Mytilus edulis: one gene and its partner. The main gene of each other region encodes a partner of the protein of the gene in region 2 in a complex. Links are inferred from orthologs where the notes say so. Each region holds a gene or a part of one and is shown on either strand. Other genes may lie near its edges.

Region 1 (6,873 bases), on a different chromosome or scaffold from region 2:
TTTTGCTTTTTTCTTTTCATCTCTTTTGTCTTCTTGAACCATAATATGTATTCCAACAACAGCAAAAATTGATTTCAAAATGAAGCTGAAATAAATAAGTAAATACATTAAATAAAATCTGGTAGGGTTACACATATTCTTATAAATATCAATATAAGAAATAGAGATTTGCCATGAATGCAAACGAGACAGTTATCCACCAGAGACCAAATGAAATAGAAGTAACAAACAATAAGTCACTAAACCCATATAGCTTAATTTGCTGTAAGCATTGCTGTTGTGTTGATGTGTGGCAATTATGATCTGCTTCATCACTGTCTAAAGAGTGACTTCTAAATGTTTGAAAGACAAGCTTCATTTGTACATATAATTATTAAATATCATATTTCTATTGGCTTTGATTTTGATTCTGCAAGTGTTGTACTTTAATAAAAGTGCAGTTCTACAATATAACCATACTTGGTAATGGCTTTCTCTTCAAAAGTGTCCAATATTGATATAAGTCGATGTATTGGATGAAAATTTTTATTAGTCATGTTAGTTGAGTCTCATAATTATTGTTTGATTGGTTTTTTTTGTTTTTTTTTGTAATTTGAGTTGTCTCAGCTTTATATACAGCTTGCTTGTTCCCTTTCTGGGTTCCCCTCTACCTTTTCCCAGCACCATACAGCTGTGATAGACCTACCCTTTATATTTTTTTCTGAAGGATAATATTAAAAAAAATAATTTTTAATGTTCATGTTCATTCAATCCATTGAATTATATCAATAATTGGGCTACATGTAGCTAGGAATCTGATATGTGTATGTGTAATGTACATAAACAAACCTGGTAGCAGCTGACTTTGGCAATATACATGACACCAACAAACCATGAAGTGCTATGAATAATCTAATAATAACTAGAACAAGTCCAAACGGGAAATAAAAAATCGTCAAAACAACTGATCCAGGATCAGGAAATCTGAAAAATAAAAATGTAGAATATTGTAGTTCATATACATTGCACCTGAGCAAACTGTTTTTTTAGATTTATAACATTTCTTATAAATGTAAATTTGATGATGCATCATAAAAATTCCTCAAAACAACAAAATTACTAACTCCATGTACTAGTTAATGACCCTAAAAAAAGAAAGGTTTTAGTGGTGACTTTATATAAATGGCAAGAGGAAGTACTTTTTTCAGATCTTTGATTGTTTCTTTTGAATGTATTTACAACCTTTACAGGCTAAGGAGAATTAAGAGCTTGACATATTGTATCTGACACCTGTGACAGGTGGAAGACTAGCTAGTACTTTATTTACATTTGTATGTTTATCTCAGAATCCCTTTAGATATATATCTTTTTGGTTATTGTTGGGATATAAGTACCCGGCCACATCCACTCTGTGTAGTGTTTGTATTTGTATCCACCTCATTCATTAAGCCTTTTTCAACTGATTTTTAAAGTTGGTTCTTATTTTGTACTGTTACATTACTGTGTGGCTGTCCCAAGTTAGGGAAGGGTTTGGATCCTGCTAACATGTTTAACCCCGCCATATAATTATTCATGTGCCTGTCCCAAGTCAGGAGCCTGTAATTCAGTGGTTGTCGTTTGTTTATGTGTAACATATTTGTTTTTTGTTCATTTTCTGTATAAATATAAATTAGGCCGTTAGTTCTCTCGTTTGAAACATTTTACATTGTCATTTCAAGGCTCTTTATAGCTGACTATGCGGTATCAGCTTTGCTCATTGTTGAAGGCCATACAATCCTATACAATGTAGTTGTTAGTTTCTGTGTCATTTAGTCTCTTGTGGAGAGTTGTCTCATTGGCAATCATACCATATCTTCTTTTTCATATAATATAATTTTTATCCCTTCATGTACATGTATCTTTTTAAGTTGAGGACAGATCAACTATAAATATGGACTAATCTACATGTAGCGGAACGACTTGGGACTTATTGACTTGAGCAAGATTATCATGAAAGTATCCTAAAAGTAGGTTTCATTGGGGTGTAAGTGTGACAAAGGATTGGCTGATTTTTTAAGTAAGCGTGAAAAGTGAAAGTCAACTGATAATTTTTGTGGTGAAAACAGGAGATAAAATCAAGTCGGTCATATGAAATTACAAGCCCTATCATTACAACGATGAATATGATACAGGAATCGGACTAAAAGCAATTAGAAGGATCTAGTATCAGACCCCTCCCCAAATGAGACCCCCTTAAAACTAAAGAAAAGGGGTTCTTGCAGCAATAGCCAAACTTATATGACAGTTTAAGATAAAGGTTGTATACCTTTATACCTTTATCTTATACTTATTTAGGTGTGCGCAGCTGAAACACTTAACACGAACATATAATTTATATGGGTTTCAATTTTCGCCATTTAATGCAGACTTAAAATTATTCAGAGTCTTTGCCGACACCATTAAATCTGACAGGTTATTCCACTGATCCACTACTCTAATTGAAAAAGTATTTAGTCTATGTGTAGTCTTACACTGTTTTTTAAAAAGTTTTAATGAGTGACCCCTAGTATAATAGATGGTGCTAAAGTAAAAAGGCTCATCCAGTCGATGTCATCTATACCATGCAACGCTTTGTAGACTTGTATGGGGATCTCATTGGGGGGTTCTGATGCTGGATTCTGCTTACTGTTTTGTCAGATTCTTGTATCCCGCTTACACTATGATCGTAAGCAATTCTTATTTTTTGTAATTTCCCATGTCCTGCTAGACCCTATTTCCCGTTTTCACGGCACAATAATTTGACTTTTACGTGTAACGCTTACAAAAAAATCGGCAATCCTGCGTCACGCTTAGACCCCAATCAGCCAATGAGACCCACTTGTATCATATGAGGGTGGTAAAGGGGGGTACGGAACACGGAAACACGTGAAATAAAAATCGCAAAAACGTAGCACGAAAAATTAAAATCCGGAAAAACGAAGCAAAAGAAATAAAATCGTAAATATTAAGAAAAAAAGTACCAGAAGTTATTACACAGCCGTTCTTGGAGATCATGTAGACATTGTAAATGACATCAAGACCTTGTGGTCACCTTAAAGCATATGCTACTTGCATCTGATTTGAAAAAATATTATTATGATGGACTTTATTACATGTACAAAATGTATAGCATACATATACAATAGAAAGTAGAATGGTAAAAATATACATCAATTTCTATTATATTACACAAGTTTCAAAAGGTACTATAACTCACTGACTTTGAGTTACTTCCAATTCACTTTTTAATCAAATGCTGAACAATGTAAGAACAAGAAATTAAGAGCACCGACACGAAACACGGAAAATAAATAAGGGGAAATACAAGCACACACATCGAACCAAACACGAGAAAACGAGAAATAAAACACAAAATCACGAAAACACGTAAAATGAAAAGGCCGAAAACGTTGCACGAAAATAACCCTTTATCACCCTCTCATATCATTCCTATCCCTACGATATTCCAAGGTGATGAACCATAAAGATGTGTTATATGTATATTATGTGTATAGCCATACATAAAGTGATTTAGATTGAAACCTACAATACATAAGTCATTTACAGTAGTCTATAAAAAATATAGAACTGACTCTGTGGTACGTCTATAGAAAATTCTACTGAGCCATACATTATCATGTCGAAATAAAGAATACAAATCACCATACATTAAATTTGTGAACTACATACAATGCATATAACTATTACTATCTTGAGAACTCAAAAATAAAATATTTAAACCTGCTAATATCGAATAATCTGTCCATGTTATTCTAAAAATCGTGCATTTTCAACCGGAAGTACTAATCATCAACCATTTTCACAGATGACTTCTGGGAGATTTTGGACAGGTTGCTTGTAGCAGACAGCAAACAGCTGTAAACAAAGATTTATAAAGAAGAACAAGGCAGAATAACCGTGCTTGTTCGAGTTAGTTATTTCTACTACATGGATCTTTCTTTGACTAAACGAAGTCTGATAACAATAAACAAAGAGAGAGAGAGAGAGCAAAACACTAAAAAAGGGGGAGCACATGGTTTATCTAAAAAAAAAATACACACAATAATAACATAAACATTGATATTAAACAAAACTCTGAGCGCATGATTCAACATAAAAATCATCTTTGTCTCCACCAGGACTCGAACCCCAGGACCTTTGTGTTACAAGGCAGCGCAATTATGCTCTATAAAAATTATACACCTTATCGCTAAGGGAGCTACCATTTGATTTTTATGGGGGGGCTAGGATGAAATTTGAAAAAAATAGGCAGGACAGGAGTTTTGAGTAAAAAAAAAAAGGCAGGATGAGACACTTGCAAAAAAAAAAAGTCAGGACGACAATTTAGGTAAAAAAAAGTCAGGATAAACTAAAAAAAAAAGGCAGGACCGAACAGAGTGAAAAATAAAAAGGCAGGACAGAGATTACAGCTAAAAAAAAAGGCAGGACAAAATTTTTCATCCTAGCCCCCCCATAAAAATCAAATGGTAGCTCCCTAATACACCTTATCGCTAATCCCGGCTGACCCGGCCGCTTGAACTTTTGACGTCAACAACAATCACTTTTCCATTGTGGCATCAGATATTTTGTTTTATGACGTCAACATTTTACGGGAACCTGTGTGATATCCAGCAATAGCGGACAAATAGTGATAAGGTGTATCCCGGCAGACCCGGCCGCTTGAACTTTTGACGCATACAACAATCACTATTCCATTGTGGCGTCAGATATTTTGTATTGTTACGTCAAAATTTATGGGACTGTGTGATATCCAGTAATGGCGGACAAATAGCGATAAGGTGTATGATAACTATATATTTGATTTTGAATACCCCTTATCGCTATTTGTCTGTCATTACTGGATATCACACAGGTTCCTTTAAAATTTTGAGGTCATAAAATACTTATCTGACGCCACAATGGAAAAGGGATTGTTGTAAATTGCGTCAAAATCTTACCATGTTACAACATATGTATTCAACTTGTGACGGGATACACTATTTCTGAAATCATGTCTTTAACTTAGAAAGATCGTCAATTTTGCATGCCTTTCTGACGTCATTTACCAGTTAGAAGGTGCACCTGTATCCTTGCTCTATTAAAAGTTTCCAGCACTTTCATTATCGTCATTCTGTAGGATAGAATAGAAATAATTTATGTTCTGTAAGTACGTAATCTTTGATTACTTTACAACTAAGGGAGGGTGATAATCTTATTAGATTTTGATTTCCCAAATATTTTGTGCCATATAAACTCAAACTTTTTCAACCGTTTGCTCAGCATGTGTTGGTGTCAAGCAAAATATTGTCCTATGAAATATTGTCCTTGTCTATGGAAATATGTCCAGAAAAGGACAAATTTTCATAGTAAAATTTTGTCTGTATATAGGCAATAATTCACAGATGAATACTATGGAATTTTGTGTTGTTAAAGGAAGGTTATATTTTGTGTAAATTGAGAAAATATTTCACAGGTGATTACTATGAAATTTTGTCCTGTTAAAGGGAGGTTATACATGTATTTTGGTTATATTGTGCGAGTATTGAGACAATATAAATTCATAGACTGATTGTCATGGAATTTTGTCTCATGAAGGGAAGGTTATCAACATATATTCATGTATTAAAGAGAAGGTATATATAGGATTTTCTTTCCTGCGACACATGCCTGTGTATATATTTACAAAATAAGTGATTGTCAGTGCATTACTTATATTTGTACCGTTATAATGTAATACAATGAAAAATATACGTAAGACAATTCTTTAATTTATAATTAACCATTTGTAATGTATCTATGCAAATTTGAAACTCACTATAATGAGTACTATAGATTCCTTGCTAAACAAAACCATTTCAGTTATAAATTTAAAAAATGTGCATGCTGCATGATTTGTACTATTGCTAGTTGTGTAATAATTTGATTAAAAAATATTTTCAAAGCCAGTATTTCATAGTGAAGTATTGTCATGAACAGAATTTCATAGTGAGATATTGTCCAGAAGGAGGTGACAAAATTTCATGGACAAAAACACTATTGCTTAATGAAATATTGTCCAGGACAATATTGATCAATATTTCGTTATGAAATAATGTCAGTGGACAATATTTTATTTGAAATTTTGTCTGACAGACAATATTTCATGGAGGACAATATTTTATGTTACATTGGAAGTGATGATGCCTACATTTTGTTCACATAGTGATGGAAGTCACATGATTAGATTCAACTTATTGCCGTATTGATTCCATTAAAATATGTATCAGGACCGTACCTTACTATACTTTACCAGAAATCTTTTGACAACCGAACACCTGACTATCATGTGACTTTACCAGAAATTATGGATCCTGAGCTTCTTACAGTTTTCTTTACAAGGTTAAAAATACAAAGCTGACATACATCTGCTGTAAACTGTTGGAACATAATGTTCACATCACCATCATGGGTCACTTTGACCATCAACATGGGTTCAGAGCAAAACCATCTTGCGAAACCCACCTGATAACCCTTGATGAAATTGGCAAGAACTTATCCAGAGGAGAACAGAACCTGAGACAGACATCAGCCTGCTAGATTCCTTCGAAGCATCTGACAAAGTGCCCCAGAAAAGACTCATCGATAACATTGACAATTACAGGGTACAAGGATTACTCTCATTGCAGTGGTTTCAAGACTTCCTTTAGCAAAACCCAATCTGTATTTCTTGAAGGGCTTAAATCCCTCCCCTGACATCATCTCAGGTGTGCCACAGGAAACAGTCATTGGACCACTCTTACTCCTGACTTACACAAATGAACAGCCAGAAACTACAACTTCTGTGGTAAGGTTATTTGCAGATGACCAATTTATGCTTAGTTTATAGAAAGATCAAGA
Region 2 (6,873 bases):
TTGCAACTACTTCAACCATGTCAACTAATACGACTAACCGACAATCAATCAAAACCTACTTTCTGTAAGAGTTTTTTGTTTTGTTTTCAACATATAAATTCTTTATGAGGTTTGAATGTCCATTGTTAGAGTTGCTGTCTCATTGTTGTATACTTTAGATCTTCTGGAACATTTGTAAAGTGAACATGGAAATACATACATAATAAGAGCTTCCCATTCAAAGAAATTCTCCTCATTGACAGGTCCTGCTATAATTCCTTCAGGTGGATTTAGTGTCAATTCTGAAAATAAATGTCTCTCATCAATACATTTGATTCAACTGATCATGAGTCAGTCGTGAGACTACCTTAAATCATAGATTGGTTATTTCATGATATTTCCAAACAATTTTCATAAGATTCATCAACTAAAATGGTCTGATGATTTGAAAGAATAAAATGAACTACATTCCAACATTTTATTAGGCCTACTAAAATTAATTTGTAGATTTTCATACAACTGATTCAAGATCAAAGTCGTAAAAGCTATTGTATCAATTGCTGCCTACATCATTTTGTTTTTGTACATGTAGTTAATGTGTTTGTGACTTTTATTTTTCATCCACATGTATATAAATAAACCTGAGAGGAGTCTTGTCCAGTGAGAAGTAATGATGATTTAACTTTATAATAATAAAAAACTTATCTAGCAGAAAGTCCTTTAAACTATTTTTTTTTTCTCTTTGAACTTCACAATTTTTGCCAATGAAAGTTGGCAGAAGCCAGAATGGCACCTGTAGCACAGTGTAGGTTAATATGACAATATAATTACATTAAATGTATGTTTCACTATAATGCGTTATTCTGATTGGCTAAATGCACATCACATGTTATTCCTTAAGCAATTGCATTACTCAATAAAACTTTTCATTTATGATAACATGAGGTCCCACAATAAAGTGCCCAGGTGAATTAAATAAAAAAAAAATGATAAAATTCATGTTTTCATGATCCTAGCTAAAAAATGTAATAATAAGTATTGAATGCTTCTTTTTGTAACTTCATAGGGTTGTAAAAGCATTGACCGTGCGCACATTTTTAGAATGAAGTGCTTGTGTAAAGCAAAATTATATCCAGGTGAAATTTGATCCGAAAGGAAAAAATGTCACAGCAGTTGTTATTTTTTTGTCCGGAGGAAAATACTTCCCTGGGATATTTTTTCCTTTGCCGTGAAATTCTATCTAGGTAGTTAACTTATTGAATAGTTATTAGAAAAAACTTATCCTTTAAAAATACTATGAAATAATATTAGTGTATTTGAAATAAAGCGAAATTGTTAAAAAAAATAATGTATTATAATGGGAAATAATTTCACAAATTATCCTTGAAAAATTTCCTGAAATATTCAAGTCAATATCATCCTTTTAAAAAGAAAATTATCATGAAACAAAGGGAAGAAAACCAGAAGTAATTTCAAAGATCGTAATTGTGAAAATAATATCATGATTAAACAAGGTTAGTGAAATACATGTAAAAGTGAGTTGTTTTCAGATCTCAGTGCAAATATAAAATTAAAACTAAGGTAGAAATATAGTTGCATTACTACTGTTAACAGTAATAGAAGAATTTGATTATGATGATAGTTTTAACTATATAAATAGTTTTGTCTGGGGACAGAGATGTAGTTGTTGATTATATGGAAATCAGATAAATCATAGCATAACAATATATTGGAACAAAAGCATGTTTAACAGCTGGATAGTTTTTACCTGTGAAATGTTATCTGTCTTATTAAATCAAGTTGTAAGTCATCTTTTTATATAAATGTATGTATAAAAAAAAAGATTCAAGGAAAAATTTCACTATAAAATAGATTCAGAAATATATTTAAAATTTAAATTGCTCATAATTACCTCCCTTTGATAAATTATGCAAATTTGGTCTACCTTTGTGAAACATTTTATAATTATAGTCAGGTATAAATCGATTGTGAGTAACTTACATAGTAGTTAATGGGACTCTATTTCACACGGTTCTGTGAAATATAGTACGGCAAATATAACCATTACATACTATACGCATAACACAGATAGATTTTCACTCCTCTGGAAAAAATCAACCTGTGAAACACCATGCCTGGAAAAAAATTACCGGGACAAATTATCCTCAGGACAAAATATCACAGAGGAAGAAATAAACCGTTACACTTTCACTCTTCATACAAAATGTACTTCGGTCAACGCTTTTACACCCCAATGAAGTTACAAAAAGAAGCATTCAATTCTTAAATAAATTATAATATATGTGAATGTATGTATGTACTGGTAAATGCCTCAGTTATTAAAAAAAAAACCTTAAAAGATGCGAGGGTACAGTGGCGTCCATGTGCACGCCCTATCAGGATTAATGGAGATGTGTCACTAACGTACATATACATGTATATATATACGACAATTATTTTTACAAGGACAGTCAATCCCAACCAAAAACAAAGGGAGTGCTAGGACACTGGGAAGTCTATTACTAGGGTGGTGGAAGCAGAAGTACTCGGAGAAGACCACTGTGGCATTCGGCGGAAACAGACAAACCAGAGATATCAGAAGATTGATCTCCATGTCAAAGTAGGGGGCAACTTTGACCAACTAAGGTCCCAAAAGTACCCGTTCTAGTTTAAACTCTGGTCTGGGTACCAGAGATGTGTGCGAGAGTATGAAAATTACAATTCTGATGTACTGATATTTTTCGTGAGAATCAAAATTGGGACCTTCAGCACTGAAAACATGAGGGGGGATAGGAGGGGTCTTGATCACGAAATCCCGGACTTGAAAAAACGAAATCCCGAGGTCCCGAATTTAAATAAAGCAAATCCCGACATCCCGAAATCCCAAAAAAAAGGATTCCCGGATCCTGAAAAAGGTCAATCCCGAAATCCCAAGCTTAAAAACACCCAATCCAGGAGTCCCGATAAAGGTCCTATCCCCCCTCAAACATTGGTCTTGACTTAACCACTAGAACATGAACTCAGATTTCTTTAAAGAGTTTTTTTTTGTCAATACACCATATCGCTATATGTCGGCTATTACTGGATATCAAACAGGTTCCCGTAAAATTTTGACGTCACAAAACAAAACATCTGACAAAAGTGATTGTTGAATGCGTCAAAAGTTCAAGCGGCCGGGTCAACCGGGATTAGCGATAAGGTGCATGCTATGTTAATACTAGATAGGTCAAATTAGTCAATTTGATGTTAGAACGATAAGAAAAGGGTGTTGTCAGTGTAGCGATAAGTGAACACAACAGGGGTCCAGTTTATGTTAAAACTAGATAGGTCAAATTAGTCAATTTGATGTTATGAACCCTTAGAACAATAAGAAAAGGGTGTGGCCAAATCGACTTCGGCCGAAACAACTATAGCCGAACTGGTTGTGTGGCCGAAATATCTCGAAAACTTTTATGCCAAACCCAGTGGTGGATCCAGGGGGGGTTCCGGGGGTGCGCACCCCCCCTTTATTTTTGCCGATCAATGCATTTGTATCGGGACATATGTTTTGCACCCCCCCCCCCCCTTTGCCCTGGGTGCCCTGGGTTAGCACCCCCCCCTTTCGAAAATTCCTGCATCCGCCCCTGAAACCGACACCCGAACAACAAGCTCTGTTGATTGAAGACCCAATGAGATATTCATAAACATATCTGAAACTAACGCTTGTATTCTGCCATCAACCTTCTTAAGGCTGATCCTGCCATTTTGCATTATCAGTTTTATCAGACTTTTTTTCAACTCATAAAATCGTGTTGTGATTCTTTTACGTGGAAGATAAAAACAGTGTTCGACTGAACGACGAAATAAAATAAGTATTCATTGGTTAAAGTTTAAATTACATTGAATGGCGACCAATCAAATGGACTGTTCCGTTTTTAGCAAACAATGGACATTTAACAGAAACCCGTTGAAATATTAAACGATTCCGACAAGAATTAATATATTCTAGAAAACATGACATCTGGTTTTTAATTTTGGAAATATTTTCAAATTTATCAAATAGGACGGATTGCAGATTGGTGTCTTATGACAAATAAAAAATAGGGGCGACCGAAAAGCTCTTGGATTTTGCGGATCGTTTATGTTAATTAGATTTTTTCATCTTATGTGCTTGAAGCAAGGCAACAATGGCACAGGCAAGCCTTGAATGGGTTGTAAGTATTTATGTTCCGATTATTTATTGACGATTTCTCTCCAGGTAAAAATGACAAGTGAAGGGTCTGTGTTTATTTCTTTATCTAGAGGTCATGAACTTCTAGACCGGTCATGTGATTGATCCATGTGATTTGATTGGTTGTTTTTAGCGCACTAGATTTAAACGGAAAAGTAACATCACATTCACCGGAGTGAGCTTTTAGATACCTCTAAGCCTTGCAATGGCTACAAGTCCTTTGAGGGTAAATTTATAATAGTCATGTCATACTGTTTCTGTTTTCAGTTACATTTTGTAGTCATCTTTCATGCATGCAAGTTAAAGGACTTTGAAATACTTCTACTAAAAAAGGGGGAGGGTTTTATGATGTGTTTACAAAAATGTAAATCATAAAATGAGGAATATTATATGAAGTCACATAACAACTTTCACCAGGTTGCAATATGGTAGTTGATGATTTCCAGAGGACAGGCTGATTCTTTACAGTTGGAAATTAAGGTTTCCCTTCAATTTTGATTTTAAACTAGATTGTTAATCATTTCAAAAGAATCTCTGTATAATTTACATCAGACATAAGGGGACTTTTTTCTCAACATCAAAAGGGTAAACAATAGTACAAAAGACTTTTTAAATAGACGACTGTAAAGAAAGCTTGTTCTACAATTTTGACAGTCATTGTTTACACGATTGTCGGATTTGTAATGTGTAACCAGGCGTTTATATCTCAAACGTCTGTTCCAGTTAATACTTGGATCCAAGTTGTCCACAAACAATACAGCAATACTAAAAACTACAACTATCTACGTTATGCACAATGAACCAAAATATATACACTGGCTTTTTGCAGATACAAAATAAGTATGAACTCTATATATACAAGTTTATACAATATAACAGCCTGACCTCCTAATTGGACGTTATGTCACTATAAGACAATGTGGCTGGAACAGCTTGACCTCCGAATGGGACAGTCTGTCAATACAAGACAGAGTGGGCTGGAACAACTTGTCCTCCGAGTGGGACAGTCTGTCACTACCAGACAGTGCCGGCTACTACAGCTTGTCCTCTGAGTGGGAAAGTCTGCCTTGTCAATCCGATCAACCTGTACGTTCACTTGTACCCAGTACAAAGTGTCTCCTGAATATTAAAGCTCTCCTAGCGTCTTAATATTACTAACGTACGCTCTGATGATGTCTCATCGACAGCCAACCGACAGCCTTGAATGCCGTTTCTCGTTCTCTTAATATATTCCACAGGGCGACTATACTATTTACTTAATAGGGGTGTTCTCTAAATGTTAGCCTTACAGAGCATAGAGAGTTCCTTACGATCACCCCTATAACTTTCGACCCTGCCACTAATTTCCTTGCCAAAAGTCTAAATCCACACAACGCTTCTTTAGGCATAAAATATGCATATATACAACAAGATTCTCCTGGTTTATAACCATAACGATCAATAATCATTACAGATTGAACTGTGTCTACCAGTGTAACTCATTCATGAAAAAAACCATCAAGTTTAGCATATCCAACAAAAAGAGGGTACTAGCCAATTTTGCAAAAAATTGTTTAGGTTTGATGAGTTGGGTCAGAGGGTTCCTGATCCCGAAATCTCAGGCTTAAAAACATTTAATCCTGAGGTCTGGAATTTAAAGAAATTTAAATCCTGATATCCCAACCTTAAAAGCACCAGATCCAGACCTCCAGAAAAAGGTCCTGCCCCCCTCTTTCATGAACAGGTTAAGAGTTACCCAGGGTTCTCATTTAAGTAATTAGAAAGGACTTAATTTTTAGCCATGGCAGGTTCAGAAATTTAATTGTTATATAGAAATTAATATTACAGTCTTTATGACAAAGAAGAGCAAGGTAATCTTGTAATTTATTTTATAGTTTGCTAAAAAATGTTGCTACATGTATGTTTGCAAAATTTACCATTTTGATGCTTCTCTCTTAGGACCAGTTTGCACAGAAAACGATTTCATCTACTAGTCCGGAAACTAAATATCAAAATTTTTCCCTATATGACTATTTAAAATTTTGAAATTTCACTTGTCCGAATCAATATTTTCTAGTCTGGGGCATCAGACTAGTGACTAACTTGCCAGCTGTCAGATTTTGTAATTAGTTCAGACAAAACAACAGGAGTAATTATTGAACCCTTTCCTCCATTGAAATTTTTTTTTTGCATACTTGATTCGCATAGGATTTTTTTAATTAAATGCTGAACATATGATTTAAAGTATTAAGGCATTGTGAAAAACAACTATTTCATCAAATAAATTTAAGTTGGATATTCCTATGATATCCCTTTTCATATCAGATACAAATTTTATTAAGTCAACTGCAGACACTTTGTAGTCACAGTGTTTCAACTGAGGTACTACACAGGCGTCCAAAGGCGTCATGGAGTAAGGGGGATGGTGTCAAAAGACGTCATTATGGAGAAAAGGGTTAAACGATATAGAATGAATTGTTTGAAGATAAATGTACATTGTATCTATAGTGTGTATATGCATTAGCAAAGACTATTAAAGTATGCTTGCTAAGTACATGTAGTTACTTTTTGTGTTGCCTGCAACATTTATGCTACAACAATGAGACAGCAATGCTGTTAAGCCTGTTGTCAGTATTGTTAACATAATTCAGAATAATAATTTTACAAAAACTCGCAACCTGTATATATGATTGATACATGTAAAA

Evidence for each region. The genes of interacting proteins can lie anywhere in the genome.
Region 1: the proteins of ubiquitin-conjugating enzyme E2 G2 (region 2) and lipid droplet-regulating VLDL assembly factor AUP1-like are in contact, whole or in part, in a crystal structure (PDB 7LEW), measured with the Homo sapiens proteins. The link is inferred for Mytilus edulis from reciprocal best matches to the Homo sapiens genes UBE2G2 and AUP1. Residues at the interface, in NP_003334.2 of Homo sapiens: Tyr13, Thr17, Pro20, Gly23, Ile24, Val25, Ala26, Gly27, Pro28, Met29, Asn30, Glu31, Glu38, Leu40, Met42, Glu45, Glu50, Phe51, Val53, Pro55, Lys156, Val159, Gln160, Ser162, Leu163, Leu165; in NP_853553.1 of Homo sapiens: Ser379, Arg382, Gln383, Leu386, Arg389, Lys390, Leu393, Tyr394, Tyr396, Ala397, Arg398, Arg400, Phe401, Thr402.

The regions. Positions count from the first base shown.
Region 1 is NC_092347.1:74,199,791-74,206,663, reverse strand, and holds the start of lipid droplet-regulating VLDL assembly factor AUP1-like, read right to left. Parts: upstream 3,869-6,873; 5' UTR 3,765-3,868; coding exon 3,739-3,764; intron 964-3,738; coding exon 829-963; intron 86-828; coding exon 1-85. UniProt on the Homo sapiens protein: Plays a role in the translocation of terminally misfolded proteins from the endoplasmic reticulum lumen to the cytoplasm and their degradation by the proteasome. Plays a role in lipid droplet formation. Induces lipid droplet clustering.
Region 2 is NC_092357.1:21,470,647-21,477,519, forward strand, and holds the start of ubiquitin-conjugating enzyme E2 G2, read right to left. Parts: upstream 3,830-6,873; 5' UTR 3,723-3,829; coding exon 3,680-3,722; intron 282-3,679; coding exon 200-281; intron 1-199. Other genes in the region: DNA topoisomerase 2-alpha-like, read left to right, coding at 4,146-4,172. UniProt on the Homo sapiens protein: Accepts ubiquitin from the E1 complex and catalyzes its covalent attachment to other proteins. In vitro catalyzes 'Lys-48'-linked polyubiquitination. Involved in endoplasmic reticulum-associated degradation (ERAD).